3 linked regions of the Kluyveromyces lactis genome follow. The main gene of each other region encodes a partner of the protein of the gene in region 2 in a complex. Links are inferred from orthologs where the notes say so. Each region holds a gene or a part of one and is shown on either strand. Other genes may lie near its edges.

Region 1 (10,177 bases), on a different chromosome or scaffold from region 2:
TTCTGGTATCACTAAAGGTGATAAAGAGGGTCGGATTCATTTCTGTTTGTATTTCGCTAAGGGAATGTGCTGTTTAGGCAAAAATTGTCGGTACTTGCATCATATTCCAGAGCCAGATGATTTTGCGAGGTTAGCTTTGCATTCCTCTGCGTTAGATTGTTTTGGAAGAGAGAAATTTGCTGATTATAGAGATGATATGGGTGGGGTAGGTTCCTTCAAGAAACCTAACCGTGTCTTATACGTGGGTGGTATTACAGGGGCACTCAACAACAAAACTTTGAAACCACATCAGATTGAGAATAGAGTGAAATACAAGTTCGGGAAACTTGGAGAATTGGATTCTGTTCGATACGTGGAGAGTAAGAATTGTGCCTTTGTCAAGTTCAAATTACAGTGTAACTCCGAATTTACTAAGGAAGCAATGGGCAATCAGACTCTATTAATACCAACCGATAAAGAGTGGGATCTAAGGAAGGAGGGAACTGGGTTGCTTGTGAAATGGGCGAACGAGGATCCTAATCCAGCTGTACGAAAGAGAGAATTGGAAGAACAAACCCAAGAGACTTTGAAAGCTATAAAACAACTAGTGGCTAGTACTGAAGGCACTGTAAATCAAAAACGTAAAGTTGAAGAAATCAACGAAGTGAGAGATTCGCAGGCGAACAGTCGTGAAAGATTCAGCATTAGGGAGAATGCAATCATAGATAAGACTATTTTAGATAAGTTGAAACAAAGGAAAGTGACTATTACCAATACCAACGTTGCTGCAAATATAACAGTTTCAAAACCATCGTCGGTTTTACCTTTGGTAACCCAATATTCATCTGATGAAGACTAGATTTCGTGAAGTCATGTGACACATTGACTTTTCCAGATTAGGTATATTTTGGATTACTGGTTGCCGTCATGAACAACATCTAGCGGATTTCAGATTTGTTTTACTGACATTGCAAATATTTGAAATGAATATAAAAGCTATCAATGCCTGGTTTTCAAATTATGTCGAAGTTGTTTTGTCGAGTTCACTTACTTGAACTTCGTCAGTCTACGGTTTGGCCTTCATCAAAAAACACGATAATTTTGAATCAGACATCCGAAAAAATGGAAGACAAGGCACAGGCTCAAACAAGAACGCATGAATCGTCAGACCATTGGGTATTTCCAGGATTGACCTGGAATCCTAAATGCATTATTAGCTAGCACACTGTAACTATTTACGTTAAATACTCTAATTCATATTGCATGACTCTAAAATTTCAAGGAAAAAAGTCTAGTCCTTTCATATAATAATTGGTTTGTATGAAGATTTGTCAACATTGTATTTCGACATAGCTTCTTTTGAGATGTAATTTTCTCCGGTGAAGTCGTTCTTTTTGACATAATCGAACAATTTAGCCATGGCAGAATGATCTTCCTCCTCGGTTAGAAAAGTAAGTGCAGTACCAGTTTTACCAGCACGTCCAGTTCTACCTACACGATGCACAAAGCTGTCAAACGACTTAGGAAATTGTAGATTCACTACTAAAGAAACGTTAGGTATATCGATACCTCTTCCAGCGACATCAGTAGCTATGAGAATATCTACTTTCCCATTTCTCAAAAGACTTAAAGAGTGTTCACGTTGTTCCTGTGATTTTGAGCCGTGAAGAGTTGTTGCTCGGAACCGAGCCTCTCTAAGTTTGTCGAATAACCAGTCAGCTGTTCTTTTGTAATTTATGAATATTATGATAGGAGCCTTGTAATTTGGTAGGAAATCTTTTACAAGTATCTTAAGTTTTTCTTCTTCATCTGGAACATACCGTACTATTTGTTTAATTTTTGGTTTAGATTCTTCTCCTCCAACCGTGACATAGCTTGGCTTTTTCAAATAGCCATTAGCAACTTTTTCTATGGTAGGTGAGAATGTAGCCGTAAACATCATTGTTTGTCTATTGGAAATTGTTTCTGTCTTTGCTAAAATTGTAGTCAACTGATCTTCAAAACCGAAATCTATCATCTTGTCCGCTTCATCCAACACTAACGTATTTACTTGCTTTAAAAATAAAAGATGAGAATCTAGACAATCAAGTAACCTTCCGGGTGTAGCAACCAATATATCACATCCATCTCTTAGGTTTGCTGAAATTTCTTCCAAGGAATGTCCACCAACAATACTTACGATATTGCAAGGTCGTTTCCATAGTTTCGTAATTGATTGCCCCTCATGTTGTATTTGCTGTGCCAATTCTCTTGTTGGTGCTAATACTAATGCCAAAGGACCATCATGTTTAGTAATTGAATTAAGTGGCGGTATACCGTGAAGTTTTATAAGAATTGGAAGCAAAAATGCAAGTGTCTTACCAGAACCAGTACTAGCAACACCAATGAAGTCTCTATTGTTTATAACATTCGGTATTGTACTGCGCTGAATGGATGTTGGCTCGTTGTAGTGCAAATCATTTGTAATAATGTTTAACAAATCTTCCGGAATTAACTTTAATTCGTGCCAGTTTCTTAGAGGTTTCTCTACTGTTCCACCTTTACTCGAGATATTAAAGTCTTCAGATAGAATCCTCCAATCCCTAGTGCTCATCTCTTCATATTTCTTTTCAGACCAATGCTTCCCCAAGTAATTGTCGACAATACTTTCATCTTCATTTTGTCGTTTCTTCAAAAGGTCGGCGGATTTTCTTGCTAGGAATAGTAAATCATCTGGTTCATTAGATACTTGTTCCTCGTATAGTTCGTCTTCGTCGAGATTCCTATAATTATCTTTCCTCTTGATAACGGTGTGTGACAATGCCTTTGACGCTTCTTCTTCTTCTGGTTGTGGAAATGTTCGTTTCTTGATCAGAAACCGAGGTTTCTTCGCAGGAACTGTGTCTGATATTAAGTCATCAATACTGACGGGCCTTAGCATGGTAAAGTGTGATACTTTCTACCCATCTTTACAATCGTGTAATATTGCAATACCTTTGAGAAATGAGATGAGCTCCACCGTCTTAAAGCTTAAAGAACTTAAAGGCACAGTTTCTGATATTGTCGCCACGAATAACCTAATACGGTATATGTCCGGGTAATAACATCGCCCCAAACCTGTTCCGAAAAATCATGGCGATAATCTCAATCAATCTCTGGAGCTTTGAAAAACTCCAGAGATTGATGAATCATGATTTAAACAAACTAACCGAACACTTTCATGACATTGCCAAGGTTGAATTCATATATAACTGGATTCATCAACATATCAAATCTACATACTTTCTACGCAGAACTTGTCATTGTGTTCATTTGTTTGAGCTAGTAGCTTTATTATCAATCATCAAGGGAGCTAAAAGGGTTTACTAAGCATAGACTAAGGGAGCTCATCAAGGGAGGTGGTAGAGTTTAAAAACAAGAAAATATCCCATCTCATTTGACATAATACAATTATGAGTGCAGATTGTTCCGTTGGATCAAATCCTCTCGCGCAGTTGAATAAACATGCCCAGCAGAATCCTGCTCTGAGACAAGTGGGGTATCAAAATCCGGCCAGTAATGTTGCTCAAAACTTCAAAACTCATGTGAATGAAGTATCCAATGCAAATCGTTTTCAAATGGACCAGTTTATGAACAGGTCACCTGGTTTTTCTGATGGTCAGTTGGGAATGGCGCCTGTTCCTAGTGCTATTCTTTCGCATGGTCCTCGTTTTGGACTAAAGAAACAAGATAGTGGAAGCAGTAATATGTCAGCAGGCGATACAGCTCAGCATTCCAGGAGCTGGGGTAATGAATTTAATAGCAGATCTCCTCAACAGGGTTTAGCCAGCAGAGTCAATAATGTTGAAAGAATAAGCAACACAAATTCTATGAGTTCATACAGGCCTGGCATGTCCCGGATCGGGAGGCCGATGATGCATACAGGTATTTCTTCATTACATAATTATTCTCACATGTCTCAGCAAACACCGCAAATGTCCAGTGATGATGGTGTTCTCGCTGACAAGCAGTGGAATGAGCAGTTTGAAGCCTTGGAGAAGGCTGTGGCTGAAAATTTGACCATGGAGGACAATAAAGAGGAAACCAAGGAGGAGATAGTAGTGGAGGATGGATATCAAGCAGACTTCCAAGAAGTCTGGGATAAGTTACAAGCGGAGACGGCTGATAATAATTTGGAAACAAGTGATTCTCAATGGGAGAAAGATTACGCTCGCTATATGACTGGTAAAGCAACACATATTCCACCTTACAGATTTGATAATGATAACCAATACATGCATAATCCAAATGCCTATGAAATTGGATGTATCCTAATGGAAAATGGGGCGAAGCTAAGTGAAGCTGCATTGGCTTTCGAAGCTGCTGTGCAAGAAGACCCCGCGCATGTAGATGCATGGTTAAAGCTTGGATTGGTTCAAACACAAAACGAAAAAGAAATGAATGGTATTAGTGCGCTTGAGCAATGTTTAAGCCTAGACCCCACTAATCAGCAGGCACTCATGACAATTTCTATCAGTTATATTAATGAGGGATATGATCTGACCGCTTTCAGCATGCTCAACAGATGGCTAGATAGTAAGTACCCTGAGTTAACACGCTCCCCTACCATTGATGAGGCCAATATCGATAGGTTTAATTTGAGCAAACAAGTAATCACGAAGTATTTGCAAGTAGCTAACGCCTTGCCTCAGGTGGATCCAGAAGTTCAGCTCGGTTTGGGAACGCTTTTCTATGCCAATGAAGAGTTTGGTAAGACAATTGACTGTTTCCGCACCGCATTAGAAGTCAATCCAAATGACGAATTAATGTGGAACCGTTTGGGAGCCTCTTTGGCCAATTCAAACCGTAGCGAAGAAGCTATCCAGGCATACCACAAGGCCCTTGCCTTGAAACCGTCTTTTGTGAGAGCTCGTTATAACTTGGCCATTTCGTCAATGAATATTGGCTGTTATAAAGAGGCTGCAGAGTCTCTGCTCTCTGCTCTATCTATGCATGAAGTAGAGAATGTTCCAATTACTGGATCAGTCGTGCAATCTAACAATATTCTGGAGACCTTAAAGCGTTCCTTTGTCGCCATGGATAGGAGAGATTTGCTAGAAAAAGTCATGCCGGGCATGGATCTACAGCAATTTCGTAATGAGTTTAACTTCTGATAATGCAACGCAGCGAATAGTCTTTGTTTGATAGGACCATCCTCATATTCATAATGAATTGATCTTTCACCAAGTTTTGCGGAAAAATACATTCGCATAATTAATTACAAGCATTTAGTCGCATATATGTAGTCGTCATTCGATTGTATTCCTCAACGAATAGTGCAGAGGTCCATGCTCACGATCAGTGTACCAGTCAAAGTGTTATGGTAAGCTGTCGCGGTATCTAGAGACAGATTGCGATTCTATCATTTCTACCGGGTAACATTTTCTTGTTTTGGATTTCTTCATTTTAAAGCGAGTTGCAAGAATTTGAAGTAATGTCAACAGAGTAAAAATATATGTTCTCTATAGATAAACTCCAGAGTAGTACAAAACAATCATTTACTGGTTGTTGTTTGTGTATCTAAGTGATTTCGTTAGTACTTCAATACGTTAAGGAAATATAGTGTGACTGCTTGGAGCAGAAAATACTATTGATCGCGTTTTGCTGTTTTTCTGAGGCATCCAACTTGATCCGATTTATTGTATATTGTACGTGAACGAGAGACCAGTCAGAAAATCTAGATAGGATCAATGACTTCGAGTACACCTTATGAGTACTCATACGAATTGGATGAGAAAAAGCCATTAAATTTGGATTCCAATTACGTGTCGTCATTTTCAAAATATAAGAGGTACGTCCTATGGCTGTTTTCCATACTTTTCATATTATTTTGGTTAAGTGATTTCTCACTTGTTGCAGCTGAACCCAAGGTGGTGATAATTGTTGCTGTCAATAGTGGTGGCGGTGGTGTTTTAAAGTGGAAATCGGAACAAGAATGGGCTATCGAGCGTATTTCTATCGAAAACAAACGTGCATACGCCAAAAGACATGGTTACGGATTGGTCATTAAAGATCAGGCACTATCAAAGAGATACTCCCATGAATACAGAGAGGGCTGGCAAAAGGTTGATATAATGAAACAGACTATGAGGGAATTCCCCAATGCTGAATGGTTTTGGTGGTTAGACGTGGAAACTCTTATCATGGAGCCCCAACTTTCTTTGGAAGAACATATCTTCGATAGACTAGATGAAATCGCAAACAAGACTTTGGAAGCTTTCAATCCTTTGCATATAGCTACCGATGTGGCATATGTTGACTATTCACAACCGTCAGATATGTTAATTACACAGGACTGTGGTGGTTTTAATTTGGGTTCTTTCCTAATGAGAAACACTGAATGGACTGAGCTTCTTCTCGATATATGGTGGGACCCAGTCGGATATGAACAAAAACATATGGTCTGGGAACATCGTGAACAAGACGCTTTAGAAGCATTGTATGCTAACGAACCTTGGATTAGAGAGAAGATCGCATTTCTACCACTAAGGCAGATCAATGCTTTCCCACCAGGTGCTTGTGCAGATTTCAAGTATGACTTGCGCTATTTCTATAACGAAAAGGAACATGACTTCGTTGTCAATATGGCTGGGTGTAACTTTGGTAGAGACTGCTGGGGTGAAATGCGCCAATACACTCAACTGATGCAAACTCTTCACCGTAGATGGTACTCGATGTTCTTTTAGATTCTCAATTTCCTTTTGTTTATCACTTCAGTTGTATTTCAAAAATTATGCACTGCTCCATTGTACTAATACTGTAAAATAAAAGGCGAAGGTACAAGAAGATCTTCGATAGAGTATCCCCTTTTATACTTTAATGCTTTCCCTTTCAACACCATTCTTCGTTGCCTTTCAAAGTCATTGTTTGAATATCGCATATTTAATACGTCTTTAATTTCAATTTTTATCGTGAACATTCATTGTACAAACTTCGATGCAAGAGTAATTGTAAACTTTTATTTACTCTGTATTGAATGAACTACTGTACATAATGGGGGTGATTGCTAAAAAATACAAGAATTGTCTTTATAACGGATTTAAATTAATCAAATGTAATCTTTTTTGGTTTCTTTGATAGGTCCACATCCTTGAAGAATGCACCGTACGCACTATGTTCCTTCTTCTTTGTGTGAGTACCGAACTTCTTGAGCTCCTCAGGAACAGGTTGACCAGCACCATTTAAGACATTAACAAGGGCACCTGCAAGATGCTTTTCTTGCTCAGTGAACAATGTGTGTGCGGTACCGTATTGACCAGCACGACCGGTTCTACCAATTCTGTGAACGTAATCTTCTACTGTTAGAGGGAAAGTCAAATTGATAACGGTTTTCACGTTTGGGATGTCTAAACCTCTGGCTGCCACATCAGTAGCTAAAAGTAAGTTACATTTTCCTGCTTTGAATTCATTCAAAGCTTGAGTTCTTTGCTGTTGAGAAAGATCACCGTGAATGGCAGCAACATCGTAACCGTTGTATTTCAAGTTTCTTTCAACACGAGAGGCTTCCTTTTTGTACAAGGCAAATATCAAAACTTTGTCGTTCTTTGTTGGGCCTGAATGGTACTTCTTCAACAGTTCCAACAGTTTTTTTTCCTTTCTGAACGGATCCACAACTTCCACGATCTGAGTAATTCTTTTGTTTGCTGACAGTTCATCTCTGTTACCAATAGACACTTTAACCGGTTCACTCATGAAACTTGAAGCAAGTTCACGAACTTCTTTTGGCCATGTCGCGGTAAACATCAACGTTTGTCTAGAGGTGGATCTTGTTTGTCTAATGATTTTTTTGATATCTTCCTCAAAACCTTTTTCCAACATTCTGTCAGCTTCATCCAAGACCAGGTAGTTAACATGACTCAAATCAACAGAGCCTTCCTCTATTAGATCCAACAGTCTACCTGGAGTAGCAACAACGACTTGGGATCTCCTCAGATCTTCTCTTTGCTGATCCTTTGGAACACCACCGTATACGCAACAAGATCTTAAACCACACGCGTCAGTAAGAACAATCAAATTATCGTAAATTTGAGAGGCCAATTCTCTAGTTGGTGAGATAACAAGTACCTTGACGGAACTTGACTTGTCTCCTGATGTGACAATGTTGTTGATAGCTGGAACACCGAAAGCAAAAGTCTTACCCGAACCAGTTTCAGCGATACCGATAACATCCTTACCAGCTAATAGATATGGCCAGGAAACAGCTTGAATTGGAGTTGGTTTTGGGAACTTAGAAATTTCCTTTTGAATCTGATCAATAAACGACACTTGGGAAAAGTCTAAATATGGTACAATATTGGAACCTGATGGGTCGCTAACTGTAACCTCATTTTCCTTCAAAAATTCATCAATATCAGATTGAGAGGCAGAAGCAGCAAAGCTTTCAGTTTCTGATTTCTTATCCTTTTTCTCCTTCTTTTCTTTCTTCTCCTTCTTATCCTTCTTGTCTTTCTTGTCTTTCTTGTCTTTCTTGTCTTTCTTGTCCTTCTTCAATTTTTTCTTACTCTTCAACTCCTCATCTTCCACCTTTCTCTTCTTGTCCTTTAATTCATCTTTTGACATTCTGGACTATTTGCTTGAGCTCTAATGGTTAAGTATCACTACTACTGCAGATTCTGCAATCATATCATTCGAAAGCACTTAAGTCATCTCATCTCATCTCAGCTTTGTTATATAAAATTTTCAATAATCAAAAAACATTTCTTTTTACTGACGCCAGCTGAATTACAACAAGAGACAAATATATAATTAATATAGCAACGGAGGATCCGTATAATTGATAATATATTCTCAATTAATTCCGATACAGCAGTACCTCAGTTCGTATATATCTAGTAACAATAATTCAAAAGACAATGCAAGTATTATATTTAGTAGGTATATTAAACAGGTGAATAAACGTTAAAAAAGACAAGAAACGAAATGCGATAGGAAGCAGTGTTTATCATTTAGCATCATAAGCATGGAAAGCTTCAGTTGTTACTGACTCCTGATTGCTATCGGTGTTTTCATCTTCTCTGATATAGAAAACTTTCTTTGCCTTAAATTGCCAGAATCCTAAGTAGAATAATAGGAACCCAACAATGACGACTGATGCATAATTCATGTTATCTTTTGTCACTGGCATGACAGCTGGGAAACAGAAAAAGACTAAAGCGAAAAGATTCCAACCCAATAAAACGATATTGGAGAACGCTCCGAATTTTCCTAGCCAAAATGGGCCATGTTTAATATTACGTTTACGCGCCAACAGACATACGACCGGAACACTGTATGAGAACAATAAGAACGCAATACACCCAGTAATTAAAGAATTGAAAGCGGTGGTGGAAGCCATGTATAAGCAACCCAATAGCGAAATCAAGGCACATGACAGCAAGTGCGCGTTCAATGGCACACCCAATTCAGGATCAATTTTAGCCCAGTATTTAGAGTATGGGATACCGTTGTCTCTAGCAAATGACCAACACAATCTTGCTTGCCATGTATGGCATGCAATAACACATCCAAATGAGGTGAAAAGGATGAGGCAACCCAACACTACAGCACCTGGAGTAGATTTGGTAGCTTGACGGAAAATTTCCAAGATTGGCATTCCGGTATTGGATGAAGCAACAGCCTCTAGATCTTGTAAAGAGAAGAACATAGCGATGACGTAACTGAAAGAAGTAAGGAATCCAATGCCCACTGTACATAGAATAGAGATCGGAATCACTCTTTCAGGGTTTTCCACTTCAAAAGCCATGTGAGTGGCACAATCTAGACAAGAGAAGGACCATGCCGGGTTGATTAAACCGACAATGAAGGCAATGACTCCATTTTTCCAGCCAGTTTCGTTATAGAAAGTAGCAAAAACGAACTTGGCATCGTTATATTTACCATGGGAACAAGCTAGCACGGTCACTGTAATGGTGAAAAATGAAATCAATGAGATGTACAATGACGATTGAGAAATGACTGGCAAAGCCTTACCAGAACAGTTGAACATCATCAAGAACAAGTGCAAGATTTGGAAACATACGAATACATGCCATCTCTTGACTTCAAAATCTGGATGGGTCAAAGCGTACATGCCTACCAATTCAGAAGCAACTGAAAGTGTGGTAGATGCACTAGAGAAAATCGCACCTGCCCATGCAAAAGAACCACATAGATAAGCAGCTAGTCTTCTGTATTTTGGTGG
Region 2 (10,374 bases):
TTCAACTACAGCAACATTTTGAGGGCTCCTTCAAAACTCAACTGGCGAAAGTTAGAATAGTATGCAAGAAAAGATCAGTTGCTGTCGGATTTGGGATAGCTGTTACAAATGCATTAGCTATGGTTGTCCAAGCTATTTTATTCTTTTTCGGAATAAAATTAGTAATTCAAGGTGAGTATTCTGTAGCACAAATGTTCGAAACGTTTACGTTACTTCTTTTCTCCATTATGACTTGTGTTTCTTTGATCAACCAAGTTCCTGAAATTAGCAGAGGACAAAGGGCTGCTACATACATATTTAAGGTTCTAGAAGATTCTGGCTCTGTTGATACATCAAAACCTGATCCCTCACAGAACCAAAGCTTCTTTAGCACAGCGGGCAACAGAGAGACGATTAAGATATCTAATCTATCTTTTGCCTTCTCAAGCGCACCGATGAATAAAATATTCAACTCGTTAAGTTGCGAGATCTGTCTTAATGAAACTGTCGGGATTGTTGGCGAATCTGGTTCTGGAAAGTCTACCCTATCATTATTGCTAACAAGACTCTACCCTGTACCTAGTGGGAAAGTTTATATTGGTGGTATTGATATCAATAAATGGGATGAGTATGCTTTAAGAAGAACCATTTCAATTGTGGAACAGAAGCCAAAATTCTTTGATGGTACAGTAAGAGAAAACCTGGTATATGGTCTCAAACGTAACGTTTCAAACTCTGAATTAAGATCAGTTTTAAAGTCAGTTGATTTACTATCATTTGTACAAACCCTACCGAATGACTTGAATACGCGCGTTCATGATGGGTTAATGTCCGGAGGTCAAGCCCAACGATTATCTATCGCCCGCACGTTGTTACGCCAGCCGAAAATCATCATACTAGATGAATGCACATCTGCACTGGATGCAGCTAATTCATTTGCAATTGCAGAGCTCATCAGGACTGTTCTGAAGAATGTTACGGTGATTGTTATTACTCATTCAGAGCAATTGATGCAAATTTGCGATAGGGTTCTTGTTTTGAAAAAAGGGAAAGTTAAAGAAGAGGGATCCTATGCAGAGCTCTTCGAATCTAGAGGCGAACTATACCGGATAGTTTCGTGCACTAGATATTAACAGAGGATTTTAAATAACGATTGATTCACATGTATGATTTCTTCTAAGTAAGTTTATATCATTAAGCCTAGCATCATAGAGATAGAATTACGAATTTACATCTGGTATCAGACAAAATTAGAATCATTACAAATGGACGGTGACATATGGAACCTCCACGTCTTCACCTTCCTTATCTTCACAACAGAATTCCAAAATCATGGTCTTAACGTGACTGAGGATTTCCTTCTTCGTGACTAATTTTACAACCTCAGTTATTGGAAGATCCATTCTATCCTTTAGTTTTTTTGGAGGGAAGAATGATGCGTATAGTAAAGAAACATCGTAGGAGACCATTGTAATTTCCAATCCTTCTTCCTTGTTGAAGTGATCAATCAACTCTCTTAATGTGATATCACCTTGAATATCGAATCTATCCCATATTTTATCGAAAGTCTTATCATTGTATTTACCCTTTTGTGATGCGATTGGTTCTGAGAAACCGAAAAATGGAAGAGCTAAATTCACAAACCCGTTCTTGTATTGTTCAATATCTGTCTTTCCAGCGACGACTTTGTATAGTTCTAGGTTGACCAATCCTGTAACCAAAGCAGTGGTTGTAGCGATGGCAGGAATGATACGGCCAGCAATGAACTTAGTCTTTTGACGATCAGCTGGTTCGATAGAGTAGTTTAGAGCACGGTTGTTCGATGCAGCAGTAATGAACTCAATATGATGGTTTGTATCGTCATCCTTTTCAAATTCAACTGGGATTAGTTGGAAACCAGCTAAGGTAGAAGCATCTGGCAAAGAAGCTGCCAAGTTTTCTAAGACATCGCCACCAAGCTGGTTGTTCGCGTTTGGATCTGGTTCATCGTCATTGGTTTGAATTTTGATGTCAGCTTTTGGAATAAATTCAGGAACTATAAGCTTTGATAGGACGGATTGATAGTAGTTAATGTCTGGTTTACCATCATCTCCCTTTAGACCATAATTGAACGCACGCAAGTTAGCAGATGCAACGATGAAGTGGAAGTGATCTGGGTTTTCGATATTGAAGACTAATGGTTCAGGGGCACGCTTTGGACCAGACCAGAATGGCTCCCCGGTGGATGTTGTTGCATCCTTAGGGAAGTTGTAAAGAAACTGTTGGATATCATAACTAAACTTCTTTTCAAATTCTAATCTTGCCCATTTGACACAATCTTCAAAGTTGTAAGGTCTATTGTTTAGACAATCACTAATTGATTCTAAGATACCTTTGGCATCTGGGGCTTGTTTCAAAGTTTGTTCTACGAAGTTTGGTTGCGTCAAGTATAGGTTAACATTTTCAGCTGCGTCAGAGAAGTAGCCTTGGAATAGGGATTTGGCCCAAGCGATAGTGTGATCAATCTTATTAGGGAATGAACGCAATGTACACAATGGGATTGACTTTTCAGGAGGGTCTCTTGAAGATGAATAAGATTCTGTCAGGTTAGGGATAACCACTTGTGTATTACCCTTTGTCCCCAATGTTCCCGATTCTAGTAAAGGTTTCTTGTAGAACACACAACGACGGTCGACATAGGTACGAGCATCCACATTATCCAATGCGTTGGTAACGAAGTCTAATTGATTCCAAAAAGCATCGTTGAAAATATTCTCTGTTTCAGCACCAACTTTGTCAATCTTTGGCTCGATCTTGCCCTTCAAATCAGGATTCATTGCACTTACAGCATCAGCAGCAACTTCAGATTTATTTCTGCCGACATCCTTTGGTCTGAACAAGAATTGACGATTCAAATTCGACTTTTCAATTGAGTCATTGTCGGTAACAATAATTTTACCTTCAGGGCCAGAAGCCAAACCTAGTAAAGCCCAATTCTTGAGCATCTCACAACCGATCGCACCTGAACCCACTAGGAATACCTTCAAATTTGCGATTCTCTTTTGGAATTCCAAACCGAATACGGAAATTTGGTTATCGTAACGAGAGTTGATTGGTTTCGTGGTATCTGCATTTCTTGGGAAATCTTCAGAATCTGGTAGAGATTCGATGGAATCGAAATACATGTACTGTTTAATAGGAGTGAACTTACCGGAGGAGGCCTTTAACACTTCTTGAGCAACCAGACCACCGAAGAAAGCAACGATACCTGGAATATCACCTCTTGCTTGGTTAGCTAGTTCTGTGATGAGCTTTTCATCAACTTTCCCCTCAGAACCCAGCACTTCAGGTTGTTGTGTAGCTAAATCTATAACGAGTTTAACTAATTCATTAGAATCTTCTTCATAAAATGGCCTTGGCAATTCACCTTGATGTCTAACTTGGAACTGATGTAGGGCCTGGAAACCCAAGTGTAATTGTGCAGTAGTCTCGAATTTGGCGAAATCCGAGTACAGGAACTCTGGTGTTGCCAAAGATTCCCTTAAAGACTTGAACGTTAATTTCTGTGGCATCTTGACCTCGGTGAACAGACCACCTTTCTTGTATGTACCAAGATCCTTAACAGAACCAATCTTGAATGCGAACGGACCCAACACCTCGACCTTGTAAGGAGTACCATCATTCAACTTCTCAAGACCTTCCACCTCGGAGAATTTGACGTAATTGCCATCTTCTAACCCATGTCTGTTATCGTCCAACATGGTCACTGTACCATCCGACTCGATATCAGAAACAATACCTGTCTTTGGCTCTTCACCAGTAGTATCAATAACGGTAAATTCTTCACCTAAATCGACGAAAACGTTACCAAATAACCCACGGGTCTCCGTAGAAATGAAACCGATACCGTGAGAGTGTGTATACTCATTCAACTTCACCTTTTCTTCTAGTGAAATCGTGTCTGTCACAACAACTACTTGGAATTCAGACAATTGTGACACGTCTTCTAGCCCCTCTAGCACCTTCACTGGCACGTATGAGTTTAATTCGGCTAATTTTGCCTGTGATACTTTATCTCTAGCTTGCCCAATATCTTGTTCTGACAGGAAAAACTGCGTAGAAAGATCCTGTAAAGCGACAGCGCTTGGATCATAAAGGGTTAAAGACTTAACACCGGCCAAGACAACGTTCTTGGCAATCTCGACACCTAAACCTTTTAACCCAATGATCAAAACGTTCGAATGTTGCATCTTTAACATCGCTTCTTTACCTAATACGTACAATTGACGAGAGTACAAGCTCTCGTCAATTTCTTCGCCATCAACCTTAATATTCGTCATATCTGATACTAACTTGTGATGCAATGTGATCAAAATGAACGAACGGTTCACTTCTTGTTGCTATTGTTGTTTTAAGGAAACTGGTTTGTAGTTGTTTATAGGTTGTTGGCCTTATTAATTCGGTTTTTGCCACTTTGGGTTCGGTCACGTGAGTGGTTGAGTTTTCAGTCACGTGATATGAATGGAAGATGTTCGAATACAATACGACAGAAAGTGAAGCATTTGAGGTGATAGTATGGTTCCAAGAGCCCATATAAATTGTTTCGTAAATAATTAATTAATACGAGACAGTAATCACTTGATTTAAACCCATTTGGCATGCTTGAAGCCATCATTGCATACAATAAATGCATTTACACCAGCACACCACATAATATTTGAATGTTCGTCAAATGTGATATTTGATTTTCCCTTACCTTGAAGACGAGATGTCCTTCTCAAGAGATAAAGAGAGAGGGAGAGACTTCGACTGGCAAGGACAGCGCGATTGTTTACTCTACCCACAGTCTGACAACCCTATATATCTAATTTTCCATGTCCCATTGGATCAGACAAGAATTGTACGGCGGTGCCATCAGCACCGTCATTCCCAAGACGTTTCTTGATGCTTCAATGCTAAGGCAAGTACCAGACACACAGGAAGTGTTCGTGAATAGCAGACGTGAGAATGAACCTAGTGAGGATGGGCTCGGGTTCGATGAAAGTGTGATCGTAGACCTAATGCAGCGTGTGGAAGAGAATAATGACAGAAAAGCGTTAGATATCCATTTGGCAGAAATTTCAGAACTCAACGGATCACAGAAATGGACAGTAATTGACCATCAAGAGCAAACGGAACTCAAATCACAGACATGTATCGTTGTTGAGACCGCATACAAGTGGGGCAAACAATCGATGAAGGAAACCGTAGTAATGTGTGTTGCATTGCTCAGGTTGGATCAATTCGATACCGACGTCATCATTTCTGTTCACGTGCCTATCTCATCGGAACAAGAACTGAAGGCCATGGAACAGGCAATTGCGCAAAACTCACCGGAAAAGCTACCTCAAAGGGTGCACGCGTCCTATTCGTTGCTTCGGGACATGATCTCGAGCTTCAAAGTGGAGGATCCATCGTTATTTGCATGATCGAAACCAGGTATAGTAAAAGTATAGTAAATTATATATCCGGGTAATGAATTTCTTTAAGAATGAGTGTTTCAACTATGGAAATGGTATTATCAATGATAAACAATACATACTTATTCCTCCATCAGCTAGACTCTCAACGGTATATCACTACGAGCGGGAGCCCTGGTGTTGATTAGTGGTTCATAACTTGCGCTATCCGTGTGAAGATGGCCAAGGGCAAGAGAAATAACTGGAGAAGGATAGCCACCATTGCAATTCCGTTGGTGTTTGCAGTGGTGGTTCTTTTCAAGATGCTTAACTACAGTACGACTGCTGCAGATTTGCAGACACTATTACAGAATTTACCTAAGGAGATTAATATGGGTTCTTCCGAGCAATCAGACCGTAAAATTATGGAGAAATTTGAGAAATTGAGCCAGGATATGCTAAAGAAACAGGACGATCAGGCAAGAAGGTTTGATAGAGAGAGGAAAGTCTTGGAGAAGAAGATTCAAGCGTTGAAGCAACCTGCCAGACATGCGACTTTGAGAGAGAAGTTGGCCGTTGTGTTTGAGTACGGTACCACTCAGAGATTCCCCGCTTTTGTTTGGCAAAGTTGGCCGTATTCCGATGACGATGACAGGTTGGATCCTACATTGAAAAAATACGAACGGAACTGGGCTAATAAAAACCCTGGTTTCGTTCACGAGATTGTCAACGACGATACTGCTGCGGCGTTTGTGCATGGTTTCTATGCTACAGTTCCTGAAGTGATAGAAGCTTATGATTCTTTGCCTACGTCGATCTTAAAGATCGATTTCTTTAAGTACCTCATCTTGCTGGCGCGTGGTGGTGTCTGGGCAGATGTCGACACTGATCTGTTGCAACCAGTACCCAATTGGATCCCAGAGAACGTGTCTCCAAAGGAAATCGGGTTGATTATTGGTATTGAACACGACTCGAAGACTCCTGATTGGAGATCTTCTTATTTGAGAAGATTGCAATTTGGCAATTGGGTCGTACAAGCCAAGCCAGGCCATCCAGTGATCCGTGAAATGGTCGCAAGGGTCACTGAGACTACATTGGAAAAAAAATACGCTGATGAACTTAACATGAACCTAAGAAACGATCTGACCATTATGGGCTGGACCGGAACTGGTGCTTGGACCGACGTAATATTCACCTATTTCAACGATTACGTTCAAAGTGGTGTTTTAGACAAGATCACTTGGAAACATTTCCATAACTTAAAGGTACCCAAACTGGTCGGAGACATTCTAGTGTTCCCAGAAGTTAGTTTCAATGCGCCACAAGCTGATTCAGACACGGATTCTAAACAGTTGACTAACAGTGCGCTACATTTCGCAACACATACCAAAATGAAGTCATGGAAGAACCAGCAAAAACTCCGCGGCTACAAATAACGATTTATATAGTACTATATTCATATCACAACTTTAAATAATTTTGTTAATCCGTTTCTGACACTAAATCATGTATAAGTTGTGGAACTAAAATCAGAGTGCGCCCAAGCTCTACTAAAAACTGGGCAATTAAAAGACTTTCCTCGTCACTTAAACGAATATCTGTTGTCCCTATCTGGTTACTCATCATCTAAAAGCTTTTCCATCCCACATCTTCATACATGATGTTTTCTTGTCAGAACACGGCACACGCCTCCTGGCATGCTGTGTGAGATAATGTAAAGGAGATTTACTAGGTCATGGTACACCTGGTATCCCTGGTACCCCTGGTACTACCCATTTGGTGCTCAGAAGCCATCCTTCTACCGTCTTTTTCGTCTTATTTTCGGCCTCGAAGTAAGTGGCTTTTATATGGTTTTCGTTCGGGAATTTTTTTCTTAAATGAATGAGGTTTTGCTTGATCGTTAGGGCATCGATAAAGTGTAGCACACGACTAGCAGCCAGTAGCCTGAAATGGTTCGTAATGCTTTATCTATCTTATGGTAATAACTGAGGTATAGGTTAAAGAAAGAAACGAAATATGTAGTTCTATTTAGTGTGCAGGAAGGGACAACAACTTATTGTTCCAATTTGATTCCTTCCTGTTTCAATTGGGCTTCCTTTTCTAGCCTCTCTTCGATTTCTCTTAATTCTTGCTCTCTTTGCAGCAATTCCTGTCTCTTCAATTGCAATTCTTGTTGCACTCTTTCTTCGAAAACCCTTAATCTTTCTTCTTCTAGCTTGATTTGTTCTTCTCTTGCCAAGTAAGTGTCCTGGTTCGATGACGCGTTGTTAGAATGTAAAGAAGTCGAATCATTGTTCCCCAACGCAGATGGTAATCCATTGCCCCTCACAGATTCTCTACCAGATACAGCGGGTGATCCTAGGTATTCGTTGTTCGTGGTGCTGAAAGCTCTGTTATGAGTCGTAGTTCCTACAGTTGGCATCTCACCGGACAAGGCTTCAGTTCTGTATCTTTCGTATAGGATCTCATGAGTAAATTCCTTCATATCGTGTAAATGTGAAATGAGTAGAGTGTTCCTTAGGACGACGAAATCAGAGATGTTAGCATCCTCGACGTCAAGGGTTCCCCATGGATATTTTCTACCACGAATCACGGACCCGTCTGCAGATTCAAACACATCGTTGGAACCGATGATAGAGAAGGGCAGTAAACCTCTGAGATATGTGTTTGTTTGATAATCTTCGTCTGACGCGTCTTCCTCATCGAATGGGAAGTTGTAGATAGGTAGCGAATAATAGTCGATATCCTTTGCGATCAATTTCTTGTTCAATTTCAACTCTTCAGCGGTCAAGGAATCTGCTTTACTGATAACGGGGATCACGTTCACTAGAGTACCTAGTCTTCTGATGAATTCCACGTCAATCTCTTTCAATCCATGTCCAGTAGGATTGATCAAATATAAACAACAATGCACCCTACCATCTTTAAACCGAGGATTTCTCCTTACACGGCTCTCTTCCAACAAAATTTCATCGTACTGGTGACGAATGTAATCAGAGATAATGTCAAACGATGGAGAATTATCCAAAGAGTCGCCGAATCCCGGAGTATCAATGATATTCAATTGGATCTTAAGACCTTCTTCGTCTTCTAACTCAACGATTTCTTCCCTCAATTGCACATCAATCTGCGTATTTGTGTCCGTTGGTAACATAATCGTGGTAGAAGTATCTACCACTTTCTGTCCACATAGAGTGTTAATGAACGTCGACCTACCGCACCCAGACTGACCAACAACCATCACCGTGAACTGAATTCCTCTCTTCAAGTTCTTCCGTTTACGCAAAGCGGCAGATGCCTGAATAATACTTGCCATTTCTGTCTAAATTACAATTGTAGCAGTGCTTTTGTTTCCCAATTCAATACCCCGACAGAAATTAGGTGCTAATAAGACCTCTGAGCAGCTCTTCTGTTAATTGTGTTGTTTACGTGTTAGTTGTTTGTTTAAAGTTTCACGTTTCCGATCTGATTCTAAATTCGTTACTCTGAGGAATCTGGAATTTAGTATGGAGGAAACAGAGAAAGAGTAGGTATTCGACGGTGAAAGAGCATTTGATGGATGATAGAGGGGCTCAGCTAATTGAACAGAGGTTATAGATTGTTACTTGGAAGTCAGATTACGGAATAATCAATCCAGCGATGCACAATTGCCTTAAGAATGTGGATTTGAATGTTGACACATCCGTACATCACATACATATTTATCATTTAGGACGAAATTCGATTCAATTTCTCATTTCATCAAAGCTTTCTCTTGACTCATCTCGAATTGTGATGTGGAACCAGTTAATCATCTCATGTTCAAGACGATTTTATATTTAAAGGAACCCTTAAAGGGCATTGAAATAATTGTAAGAAGAAACTTTCGATAATTTCTTATCGATTGGTTATATTTGGTTGATAATTATCTAGTAGGGCAACTACACTATACTGTGATAAAAAGGAACTAGGTTTTCGCATTAATTTGATATCATGTCCGCTAAAAGAGTTGTTTTGATCGATAACTACGATTCGTTCACCTGGAACATCTATGAATATCTTTGCACTGAGGGTGCTGAAGTTTTAGTTTTCAGAAATGATAAGATTACTGTGGAAGAAGTTGAAGCATTGAACCCTGATATTGTCATGATTTCACCGGGTCCAGGTCATCCAGAGACCGATTCCGGGATATCAAGAGACTGTATCGCATTCTTCTGCGGCAAAGTCCCTGTGTTTGGTGTCTGCATGGGTCAGCAATGTATGTTTGATGTCTTTGGCGGTGAAGTTAGCTTTGCTGGAGAAATTGTTCATGGTAAGACTTCACCAATATTCCATGATGGAAAAGGTTTCTTTAGAAAAGTACCTCAAGGTGTCGCAGTGACGCGGTACCATTCGCTTGCTGGCGCCAAGGAAACACTTCCTGATGTGCTTGAAGTTAGTGCAAGAACGGAGACTGGAATTATTATGGGTGTGAGACATAAGAAATACACTGTGGAAGGTGTGCAATTCCATCCAGAATCTATCTTGACCGAGAGTGGGCATCAAATGATCAAGAATATTCTTGAAGTATCAGGAGGTACTTGGGATGAGAACGCAGCTAACTTGGCTAGGAATGAGCTCGGAAAGACAGCCAGCACTGATAAAGCGAAATCTATCTTGGAAACTATTTACGAAAAACGCCGTGAAGACGTTCAACTGCAATCGACGATCCCAGGTTATCGGTTCTCTGATTTAGAAGCCAACTATAAGTTAGGTTTAGCTCCAAGGGTACAAGATTTCTATGCAAGATTAACTGCTACTGAGAAAACAGCAGTCTTGGCTGAAGTGAAGAGAGCTTCTCCATCGAAGGGTGACATTGATTTGAGTGTCGTTGCTTCAGAGCAAGCGTTGAAGTATGGTCAGGCAGGTGCTTCAGCGATCTCTGTATTGACCGAACCTCACTGGTTCAAAGGTTCCATTGAAGATTTGAGAAATGTAAGAAAAGTGTTGGAGGTGGCAT
Region 3 (10,646 bases), on a different chromosome or scaffold from region 2:
TGGATACCCTTAATCTTAGATTACCAAATTCAATCCACTCGAAAGGATTGTCTAACGCGGTTTTGCTACGATAGATAAGCAGGAAAATACTGCGCATTGTGATGTCTGGGTTCGTGTGTGGAACGTTCCGTCGTGATCACGTGGTTTGTGGCATATTTTCAGTTATTTAATTTTTGCGCCGTCTCCAGTATCCTCTTTGGGAAACCTTCAAGTTAAGCTAAGCTGCATTCTTTTCCTTTTTAGGAAGGTGTAGCCGTTGTCCAACATTGCCTATGCTTCATTCCATTCTCGCAAGACTGATTTCCGCATCTCATCTCGCAAACTGTAAAACTGAATATTTTGTAAACCTATTCCAATCTGATGTTCTTCACGACCATGTTGGTTCGGTACGCCTAGTGAATAGGAGCTTGGAATTAATCACAGTCATTAGAAAAAAGAGCTTTAAGGCACAGTTATTTGCGTTTACTGGAAAACTGAGATTTCAATTAAGTGACAATGAGTCAATTGAAATATATCTTGGACATTGAAGGTACGGTTTGCCCTATCTCATTTGTTAAAGACACGCTATACCCTTTTTTCTTGAAACAGGTGGAATCTCTTGTCAAGACTAATGACCCTACTTTGCAGAACTTACTTGCCCAATTTCCTGTCCCACAAGATGCTTCTTCTTTGCATGAACATATTGAATCGCTAGTTAATAACGACATCAAGGATTCCGTGTTGAAGCAATTACAAGGGTATATTTGGGAGCAGGGTTACAAGAGTGGTGAGATCAAGGCGCCAGTGTATCCAGATGCAATTGATTTCATTCAGAGACATGCTCCTAATGTTTACATATACTCCTCAGGGTCAGTAAAGGCGCAAATACTCTTGTTCCAACACGTAGAAGGGGACATCGATTTAACGAAATCCATTGCTGGCTACTTCGACATTAACACGTCCGGTAAGAAAACTGAACCTCAATCTTACACCAATATTCTCAAAAGCATTGGAGTGCCTCCATCATCAGCAAGTGATGTTGTGTTTATTAGCGACAATGACAAGGAGTTAGACGCAGCTTTGGATGTAGGCATCAGCACCATCTTGGCATTGAGGCCTGGAAACAACCCGGTATCTAATGCAGAAAAATATAAAGCGCTTAATAACTTCTCATCTATATAAGACATGTCTAAGGTACACTGGTTCTCTGAATTGGGACTAAGGATATAGTGTAATGATGAATAAATTTAAAAAAATTAATGAAGGGGATATCTGATTGATTGTAACACAAATCCTACTTGAAGTTGGAAGTAAGAGATCGAACATACCACGCTCCGTCTGTTGCAGATTGACTAAGGTTGGTTAAGTATAACTGCTCATTATGAGTGCGTATGTGTGCAAAAATTGGAAGATGAATATGTGGGATGCCTTCGCTGTAGTAGGAAAATCTGACGGTATAGAGGTCATACTTGGATTGGCAAACACTACATGCTGGAGATATGAGTACGCATATTCCATATTATTAAACAAATTTGGTAGAGATAATTATTTTTGTTTTCTATTTTGAACATATTCTTCTTTCCCTACATGCCTAAAGAGACGATGGTTTATTGAAAAATCATACTACATTCAATCAGCGTAATTGTTGAATAGCATGTTGGCAGCAATTTCTTCGTTTTTGTCACATGCGAAGTAGATTTGCACCACCAAGGTCCTCTCAAAACCCAACTCGCAAAGTCTATTGATAGCTTCTTCATCTTCTGCTGAGATAGTAACATTGGGAGGCGCGCCTTGAGTTTGTCCCCCGAAATCACCTAGATCACCTTCTGCTATGTCATCTCCCAGATTTTCACCCAAAGAATCGGTTAGGGAACCGCCAACAGCTTCTAATAGCAAAGAGATAAACCTTTGTGGATCTTGCAGCATGGTCTCACGGAGATGTGGGTAACGCGTGCTTAGACTCTCGAAAAGTGGCATTAAAGCCTCTGGACGCCCAGATACAACGTCACGAAGTTGTGTAATGTCCTCCATAGTCAATCCGATTGTGCCCATTTCTTCTCCACCTAAACCAGCAGCGGATTCATGACCTTGCTCGCCATTATTGGCTTCTGCTTGTGCAAATAAATTGTCTTCATGTTCAGTGAATTGTGATGGCACGTCTGTTGCAACTTCAGAATTAGCATTCGCCCCAGCTTCACTAGTTACAGCTTCAGCTTGTTGCTGCGATGGCTCACTGGCTTCAGGAATACCCATAAGCAAATACTCCACTGCACGGTCAGGGTTGTTGAATGCTGCTCTAAGCGCACGTTCTACTTGTTCACGATCATAACCCATTTCCATGATTCTGTTCACAGTCTCGTTACGTTGAGAACCAGTGACAAACGAAGCATCAGTCGTCCCTTCTTCTTGTGTAACTGCAGTAGTACCTGTTCTTGTACCAGTGGTTGTAGCTTCCGCAGGTGCATTTGCAACTGCAGAAGTTTCTGCAGAAGCAGTGGCTTGAGATTCATCTTGGGGTTCAGTTGTGGATTCAGTTACCTTAACATCAGCCTTTTTCTTAGTTTTGCTAATCATGAATATAACCTGATCCCCTTCCTTAAGATTGCATCCTGATACGGTCTTAGGATCCTGGAGTATCTTACCTGCGTAGATCAACTTTATTTGAGATGCATCGCACTGTTTTTGTTCAGCGATCAATTCCTTGGCGTGTGAAATGGTGGCATCATCCGCCAATTCAATAGGTAGTTTTTCCTTTTTGAAATCTTTAAAATTAATAAGCATTATGCTTGTGATTTTCTTGGACTTTGTCTCAACGGTTGTTTTCTTGACTTTATCTTCTTTGCCACCCAGCCATCAGATTCAAGTTGATTTGGCATTAATTTCAATTTCTTTCACTGTTCTCAACTTTCATTTTCGATGTTGACAAAAAAAAAAACTGAAGGTATCTGACAAGATGCAGAACTCCGGAATACGCTGAAAATTACAGCTTAATGCAGCTTGATAACGTGTTTTCAGTATTTGCTTGCCTGTAATAGTTACCAGTAGTAATATGGTTTGAAGTAAACAAAATGAACAGATTATTGCAAGTACAATATTAGTATATAATGCATTTAAACGTAAATGTAAAAAAAAGTCTATTGATAAAAACCTCGATAATGATCTAAGGTGCATATTGTACAACTAGATACTCCAACGTGTTACAGTCTGCCTAATAATTGAATAATAATAGGGGATGGAAGCGATGAGAATTGAAATTAGATGGTTAAGATATCTTTTTAAAAAATATCTCGTTAGTGAAGAATGTATTTGTGGGTTTTATAATCTTCTTTACTCTTCACTGCCTAAACAGAAAATTATTAATGAGCAGGATCAAAGTCCAGTGGTACTTCATGTGAATCTTGATTATTTCCTCCGTTCCTTGAACCATCATCTGCTTCATCATCATCTGACCAGTCCACTTGAATCTTCCTATCTAGGACATTCGGATCAATGTTCTTCAAAATTTGTAACCTTTCTAGCTCCCACTCATCTCTCACGTCATCGAAACCAATATCCCAAATTCTAGCATAGAACTCTTGAATTTTTTGCTCTTCAACCCGACGTTTCTCTTCCTCGGCCATCCAGGCCATGTGTTTCAAATCGTCACTTGAAGGTTCGTAAATGTGCCAGATCACATAATGAGGTAGACCGACAACACTGTATTGCATTCTACGTGATAATTTACCAAAGGCTTCAGTTTCAGCATGTTTCTCGAAAGAGAACGCAGGGAAATGAGAACCTGTTCTAAAGACCTTAGCTTTAGATAAGATGGAAACACCACCAATTCCGTCTAGTTCCATCTCGACCTCGGGATCGCCGCTTGGGTCTCTCATGTAGGCCAAATGTGTTCTCCATGTAGCGTATTCCGGGTACCCTTCTACGATACAAGCATCTTCATCCAAAGAATCAGCTAATTGTAATCCACCCTCAGATTCAACCCATGAGTTCAAATCATATGGTTGTATATTTCCCAACCAATCGGGTAGAGGTCTCCAGACGTTTGGAACAATGACGTCTTTATCATGATGCATTAAATCTTCCAAAATAGTATTCGGTATAGTTTGAACGTCGACATCTCTCCAGTACACGTAAGAATGATACGGCTTCAAAGCCGCTGACCCAAGCCAATTTCTAGCTCTGGCCATGGATTTTCTTCTAGGGCCTTGAGCTGCAAACCCGTGTCTATCAGAAAACGATTGACCCACACTTTGACCGAAATCTTTCTCAAAAATTTCAATGTTAGCGAATCTTCTCGATTTGTCTTGGTTTGATTGAGCTCTTCTCAAATGAGAAAGAAGTGTTTTCATGGTATCATCGCTTGAATCACTGACCAAAAATGAAAGATCAATCAAGTTATGTGGGTATGTCAATTTATCCAAGGTATCGAAGAACATATCCAAATGTGCGGCTGCATCTCTCAAAGGAACACAGAACACCACCCTATCACCGGTCTGCCATCCATTGGCATTCCCCTGATAATTAATTAAATCGTAATATTCCACTCCAGGTATATTTCTGAACCTGTTACCAGTTACAGGACTTGAGACGAACGGTACGAACTGCCATATGATTGGGAAAATCATTCGAATTATAAGAAACCCCGTTACCACTGATCCTATCACGGACACAGCAGTCAAGGCATTGAACCTGCTCTTACCCTTGCTGCCCATCTATGACGGTTGTATGACGTTGTGTAGAATATTTGAATTTCCAGGAATCGAGAATAGAAGTGATTTCAAAAGTAAAGAGCGATGGATCCGGATGTTTTTATTCCTCCACAGCTTTAGCGATTGTATTTTATTGTTCGAAGAAATTTTGATACCGCAATTTTTCACAATAGATCTATAAAATGCACGCTCGTCAAAAGATCCTTATGTGTTCTTCCTTTCTCACTAATCCTGGGCGGTGCTAACCCTGTGTATTATGACACCTTCTGGAATAATAATCGGCTGCTTTAAATGACAAACCTTTTTCCTTTAGCGTTTGCAACAGATAATATGGTCTGTGCCATAATAAATACTTATAAAATATTACTATTTTCGATTGTATAGTTGCATTGTTTTCATCCATTTCAATTTCTTCGCCAAAAAAAAAAAAAAAAAAAAAGTGTATAAACTGAAATTTGGAAAAGGTAAATAAAAAGGAACTGCCAGACCCTACACGCAGTTATAAGGTGTGGGAACCAGTGATTCAACTCTCAGGGCACTGTTGGGGACCGTAAGTTGTTGTAGATAAGAAGCAACTCTACTTTTTCCCGGCTCAATTACCGCCTTTTCGCACTGTAACAGAACCTCTACTACGGCCATTCAACATAACGGAACAAAAAGGCTGGAAAGATAGCGGATGTCTGTTCTTCCCGTACAGTCACGTGACATGTTTCATCTCATTCCAATGCCTGGGAATGCCAGGCGGCAATCAAAGGACCAAATAAATACGTGTATAGTGATATGTATATGTTACCCGGGCATCGTTGGGTTTCCCTTTTTCCTACTGCTTACGAGAGGATTCCGTGAGCTTACCGTGTACGGTGATATATCATGGTCCGTGCCTGTTTCCCTCAATGCGGCCTCAGGTTCTTTGGATCTGTCGACTGGCGAATCCACCCAGCTCTTCGCCATCAAAGATGAATTATACACAACTACGTATCAAAATTGTACATTATACAAATCGTTCCGCAACCGATACAATTATGTGCCAACGTTGCCTATATTATTGACTTCGATCTGTCAGTGAATGCCGTTAAAAAACTAGAATATGCCATTTGGAAAACATACAATCCCCATAGCAGACTAGAATAGCAAGGGAGAAGACGATGGGAAAGTAGAAAAAAAAGACCTACCGTACGAATTGCTTTTTCTTTCTGTTTTCACACTCTACAAACTTTACACGACTATGAAATACATCGGTGTTTTTCCCTCTCGCTCTCTCTTTCACTCTCTCTGTACAAAATGATCGAAACTAAATTTTTCAAACTTTTTTTTTCAGTTCGACGACGAGAAAGAAAAAAAAATTTGATATTCGATTTTATATATATTGGAAACAAAATTATAAGAGTTTTTTTCTTCATGGAAAGTTGAATTTAAAGCTTTTTTTCATTTACAAGAGTGTATTTAGTCCATTTTGTATATGTTTCAGAATGATTTTGTAAACTTCTTCATTTGTTTAATTAGTTTTTCTTGTTCTCTTCTGTTTTAACTTTATCCTGTTATTAGTTATTCAGTTTTACTTGGTTTCAATTGTATTTTGTTTTCACTACAGATAGTAGACCAAACGCATTAAACAAATCACACATATACAACATGGCTGAAGAAGAACACACTTTCGAAACTGCTGGAGCTGGTGCTTCCTTGACTTTCCCAATGCAATGTTCTGCTTTGAGAAAGAACGGTTTTGTCGTTATCAAGGGCAGACCATGTAAGATTGTTGATATGTCTACTTCCAAGACCGGTAAGCACGGTCACGCTAAGGTCCATTTGGTTGCCATCGATATCTTCACCAACAAGAAGTTGGAAGATTTGTCTCCATCTACTCACAACATGGAAGTCCCAGTTGTTAAGAGAACTGAATTCCAATTGTTGGATATCGATGACGGTTTCTTGTCTTTGATGACCATGGACGGTGAAACCAAGGATGATGTCAGAGCCCCAGAAGGTGAATTGGGTGACAACATCCAAGCTGCTTTCGACGAAGGTAAGGACTTGATGGTTACTATCATTGCCGCTATGGGTGAAGAAGCTGCCATCTCCTTCAAGGAAGCTCCAAGATCCGAATAGATTTTGATATGAACAAAAAAATTCAGTAATATATTAATGGACTAAGAAATGAGAAAAAAAAGTTTTTTTATCCCTGGATAAATGGAAAGAAGAAATTGGATCAACCGTTGTTGATACGTTGAGCTCCTAATGTGTTTTGAGAGGGACAGGGGATCTTCTTTTGTTATCAGTGAGATTGGACTCGAGATGAAAAAGACTTGAAATATGATTCCTTTTTTATCCTTGCATGTTTTCACTTGTCCATCTTTCTGTGTTTCCACAAAAGTCGTTTTCCTTCCTGGAACGGTTTTGGTTGCTACTCCCGGTGTTCTTTAGTACGCTATCTAATTCCCCATTTTTTTTCGTCTACTGTTAAGCATCCAATTATATATATTAACTTATATGATATTCTGGGTGTTTTACGTGGGTTTTCAGCAATGGGATGGATTTTGAGTTATAATTGTTGGTTGGAGAACAAGAAACTGTTTTTTCTTTTCTGGAAAACACTCAATCGCTCCTTTCCTTGTCAAGCGTCATTGATGGAAATACTATCAGATACGTTATTCTTTATCACTTTCTCCTTTTAAATCAGCTTTTTTCTCTCTATTCCAGTAATTTTTTTTTTCACTCAATTAAATATCATTATATCCTTAATTCTATTTCTTATATATTTAAATCTTCTTTAACGCTTCCGTTTGTCGTTTTACATTGTCATTGAACCCTGTTAATATGGGGTGTGTGTACTCTTCCGCACTTGCAGACTGCCAGTTACTAAACGGTTGGGAAACCATCCTTGTTTTATTTTTTCAAATTTTGGCTCATCGTCGATAACTTTCAATATCAAAAGCTCAATTGTAGGCAAATATGATTTCGTTAGATTACTTTCTTTAATACCATCTAATGTCCATACTAGGTTCAGAACGTTGGCAAGGGTCTGTAGTTTCTTCTTGCACTGTGAAGCGCGGTATAGTATTTATTATTTACCAATTCACAATATAATGAGTGACATCTTCTGGATCATGTGATATGAACCTAACATCATTTTATCATATAACATGGCAACATGGCCGAGCGGTTAAGGCGAAAGATTAGAAATCTTTTGGGCTCTGCCCGCGCAGGTTCGAGTCCTGCTGTTGTCGTTATTTTTAACCCCTTCTTCCTTTATTTTTTGACGCGTTGCCATTTCTCATTACCCGGAAAATTATTCCTCTTTCTTTTCCAAAAACGGAAAAGATATTGACGAAAACATCAAATCTCATTTCTCTTTGCCGTATTCTGTTGGTAAAATACAGCTGAAACTCGATTCTGACAAAAATAAACTAGAAGAACCATATCAAGAACGTTTCTATCCCAGAACAGCACTGGTGCCAATGAAACATTAATTTTTAGCACCTTCATTTTAATAATATTATTGCATTTATCGCTCCCTGTTTAAAGGACTTTGCTACTGAAAAACACCATAAGTACCGAATTCAATCATGAGTGATGCTATGAATCAAACAAGTGATGCTGTCTTTACAGACAGAATGCGAAGGTTTCAAGAGTTTTTGGATACCCATTCGCATTATACTCGAGAAATAAGATCAATACTCGAGTTTAACAGCAACGTAGTGAAAGAGAAAAAGACGGATGATGATTATTTAAATACTGCAGACAAAGATACGATGGACCATGACACTAATCAATTGCCATTGAGAATAACAGTATCACTTGACGATTTAAGAGAATTTGACAAAACATTTTGGACTGGACTTTTACAAGTACCCTCGTTCTTTTTACCACCAGCGGAGCGTGCTGTTTCGGAGACTGCAATGGCCTTAGATGATAGCCCTCTCGGGTTTCGCGGATTCCAAAATGATCCCAGCAGACAATGGAGACTGTCATTCAAGGGTTCTTTCGGTCCGAATTCTTTATCACCACGTACCTTAAACTCAACACATTTGAATAAATTGATCTCAGTAGAGGGGATTGTAACGAGAACCTCACTTGTGAGGCCAAAACTTCTCAGATCCGTGCATTATGCCCAAACCACAGGCCATCATCATTACCGTGATTATCGTGATGCGACTACAACATTAACCACATCCGTACCAACACCAGCTATTTATCCAGAGGAGGATCAAGAAGGTAATAAGCTGGTCACAGAGTATGGATTTTGTCATTACATGGATCACCAGCGAATCACCGTTCAAGAAATGCCCGAAAAGGCCCCTCCTGGTCAATTACCAAGATCCATTGACGTTATCTTGGATGATGACTTAGTGGATAAGACAAAACCAGGTGATAGAATTAATATTGTTGGTGTATACAAGTCATTAGGTGCAGGTGGTCTAACAGGTGGTTCTAATAACAACGACAAGGGTAACGGTGCTTTATCTGGTTTCAGAACTGTTGTAATTGGTAACACAGTGTACCCTCTACATGCCAGGTCTACAGGTGTGTCCGCCGTTGAAACGCTATCAGATAATGATATTAGAAATATCAATAAGCTATCAATGCATGATAATATTTTCGACACTTTGTCCCAGTCGTTAGCACCATCCATCTATGGCCATGAACACATTAAGAAAGCCATCCTATTAATGCTTATGGGTGGTGTGGAAAAAAATTTACCCAACGGTTCACATCTAAGAGGTGACATAAATATCCTTATGGTTGGTGATCCATCCACCGCTAAATCTCAAATGCTTAGATTTGTGTTGAACACAGCAGCATTAGCTATTGCCACTACGGGTAGAGGTTCCTCTGGTGTCGGTTTGACAGCAGCCGTCACTACTGATAAAGAAACTGGTGAAAGAAGATTAGAAGCAGGTGCGATGGTGTTGGCAGATCGTGGTATCGTTTGTATCGATGAGTTTGACAAGATGTCCGACGTAGATAGAGTTGCTATCCATGAAGTTATGGAACAACAAACAGTAACAATCGCAAAGGCTGGTATACATACAACATTGAATGCTCGTTGTTCAGTTATCGCAGCTGCAAACCCTGTTTTCGGTCAATATGACGTTAACAAAGATCCACATAAAAATATTGCCCTACCGGATTCTCTATTATCTCGTTTCGATTTACTATTTGTGGTTACGGATGATATCAACGACATCAGAGATAGAGCTATCAGTGAACATGTCTTGAGAACACATAGGTACTTACCTCCTGGATATTTGGAAGGTGAACCTGTTAGAGAGCAAATAAATCTATCATTGGCTGTTGGTGAAGATATCGAAAACGAGGAAGAAGATGATGATGAGGACGTAGTTTTCGAAAAATTCAATCCACTTCTACACGCCGGTGCGAAGCTTGCAAAGAACAGAGGTGATAGCAATGGTAGCGAGCTTCCTCAAATTGTTGCGATACCCTTCATCAGAAAATACATTCAGTATGCAAAAGAGAGAATTATTCCTCAATTGACTCAAGAAGCTGTAGACGTTATCATCAAATCATATTCAAATCTAAGAAACGATCAGAACACCAAGAAATCCCCTATCACGGCAAGAACTCTAGAAACTTTAATCAGATTATCCAGTGCTCATGCCAAGGTAAGGCTTTCAAAGAAAGTAGAACTAGAAGATGCAAAGGTAGCAACACAATTACTAAGATTTGCATTACTAGGTGAGGACGGAGCCAACTTCGACGAACAGGAATTTGCCGAAGGCAGAACAACCGAAAAATCTCCAAGAAAGAAGCCAAGAGCTTCTCCAAGGAAGAAGAGAGGGGCCGTTTACAAAGAAGTTGACTCAGAGGATGCAGAAGAGGACCAGGAAATGGCAGAGACTCAACCGGATCCTGCTGACGGTCTGGAATCTACGATGGTACGGTTAGCACCAGAACAAGAGGAAGACCTTCAAAGAAGACTAGAACAAAACTTGAGAGTGAGTC

Evidence for each region.
Region 1: HOC1 (region 2) and MNN10 share a complex: the UniProt entries of both Saccharomyces cerevisiae proteins name them as parts of the M-Pol II complex. The link is inferred for Kluyveromyces lactis from reciprocal best matches to the Saccharomyces cerevisiae genes HOC1 and MNN10.
Region 3: HOC1 (region 2) and ANP1 share a complex: the UniProt entries of both Saccharomyces cerevisiae proteins name them as parts of the M-Pol II complex. The link is inferred for Kluyveromyces lactis from reciprocal best matches to the Saccharomyces cerevisiae genes HOC1 and ANP1.

The regions. Positions count from the first base shown.
Region 1 is NC_006039.1:1,338,160-1,348,336, forward strand, and holds MNN10 (alpha-1,6-mannosyltransferase), read left to right. Parts: upstream 1-5,687; coding exon 5,688-6,683; downstream 6,684-10,177. Other genes in the region: active spliceosome conformation promoter CWC2, read left to right, coding at 1-838; mRNA splicing protein PRP28, read right to left, coding at 1,280-2,899; PEX5 (Pex5p), read left to right, coding at 3,411-5,111; RNA-dependent ATPase DBP3, read right to left, coding at 7,042-8,556; HNM1 (Hnm1p), read right to left, coding at 8,939-10,177. UniProt on the Saccharomyces cerevisiae protein: Required for polarized growth and efficient budding. The M-Pol II complex possesses alpha-1,6-mannosyltransferase activity and is probably involved in the elongation of the mannan backbone of N-linked glycans on cell wall and periplasmic proteins.
Region 2 is NC_006038.1:1,251,358-1,261,731, forward strand, and holds HOC1 (alpha-1,6-mannosyltransferase), read left to right. Parts: upstream 1-5,635; coding exon 5,636-6,832; downstream 6,833-10,374. Other genes in the region: ATP-binding cassette a-factor transporter STE6, read left to right, coding at 1-1,112; E1 ubiquitin-activating protein UBA1, read right to left, coding at 1,239-4,298; Ran GTPase-binding protein MOG1, read left to right, coding at 4,833-5,426; septin CDC11, read right to left, coding at 7,450-8,712; TRP3 (bifunctional anthranilate synthase/indole-3-glycerol-phosphate synthase), read left to right, coding at 9,369-10,374. UniProt on the Saccharomyces cerevisiae protein: The M-Pol II complex possesses alpha-1,6-mannosyltransferase activity and is probably involved in the elongation of the mannan backbone of N-linked glycans on cell wall and periplasmic proteins.
Region 3 is NC_006041.1:1,973,027-1,983,672, forward strand, and holds ANP1 (Anp1p), read right to left. Parts: upstream 4,689-10,646; coding exon 3,336-4,688; downstream 1-3,335. Other genes in the region: putative acireductone synthase UTR4, read left to right, coding at 496-1,161; RAD23 (Rad23p), read right to left, coding at 1,609-2,760; KLLA0_E22177g (uncharacterized protein), read left to right, coding at 5,362-5,751; KLLA0_E22199g (uncharacterized protein), read left to right, coding at 6,318-6,791; MCM DNA helicase complex subunit MCM3, read left to right, coding at 8,249-10,646. UniProt on the Saccharomyces cerevisiae protein: Involved in the organization of the secretory pathway. Required to maintain a functional Golgi apparatus.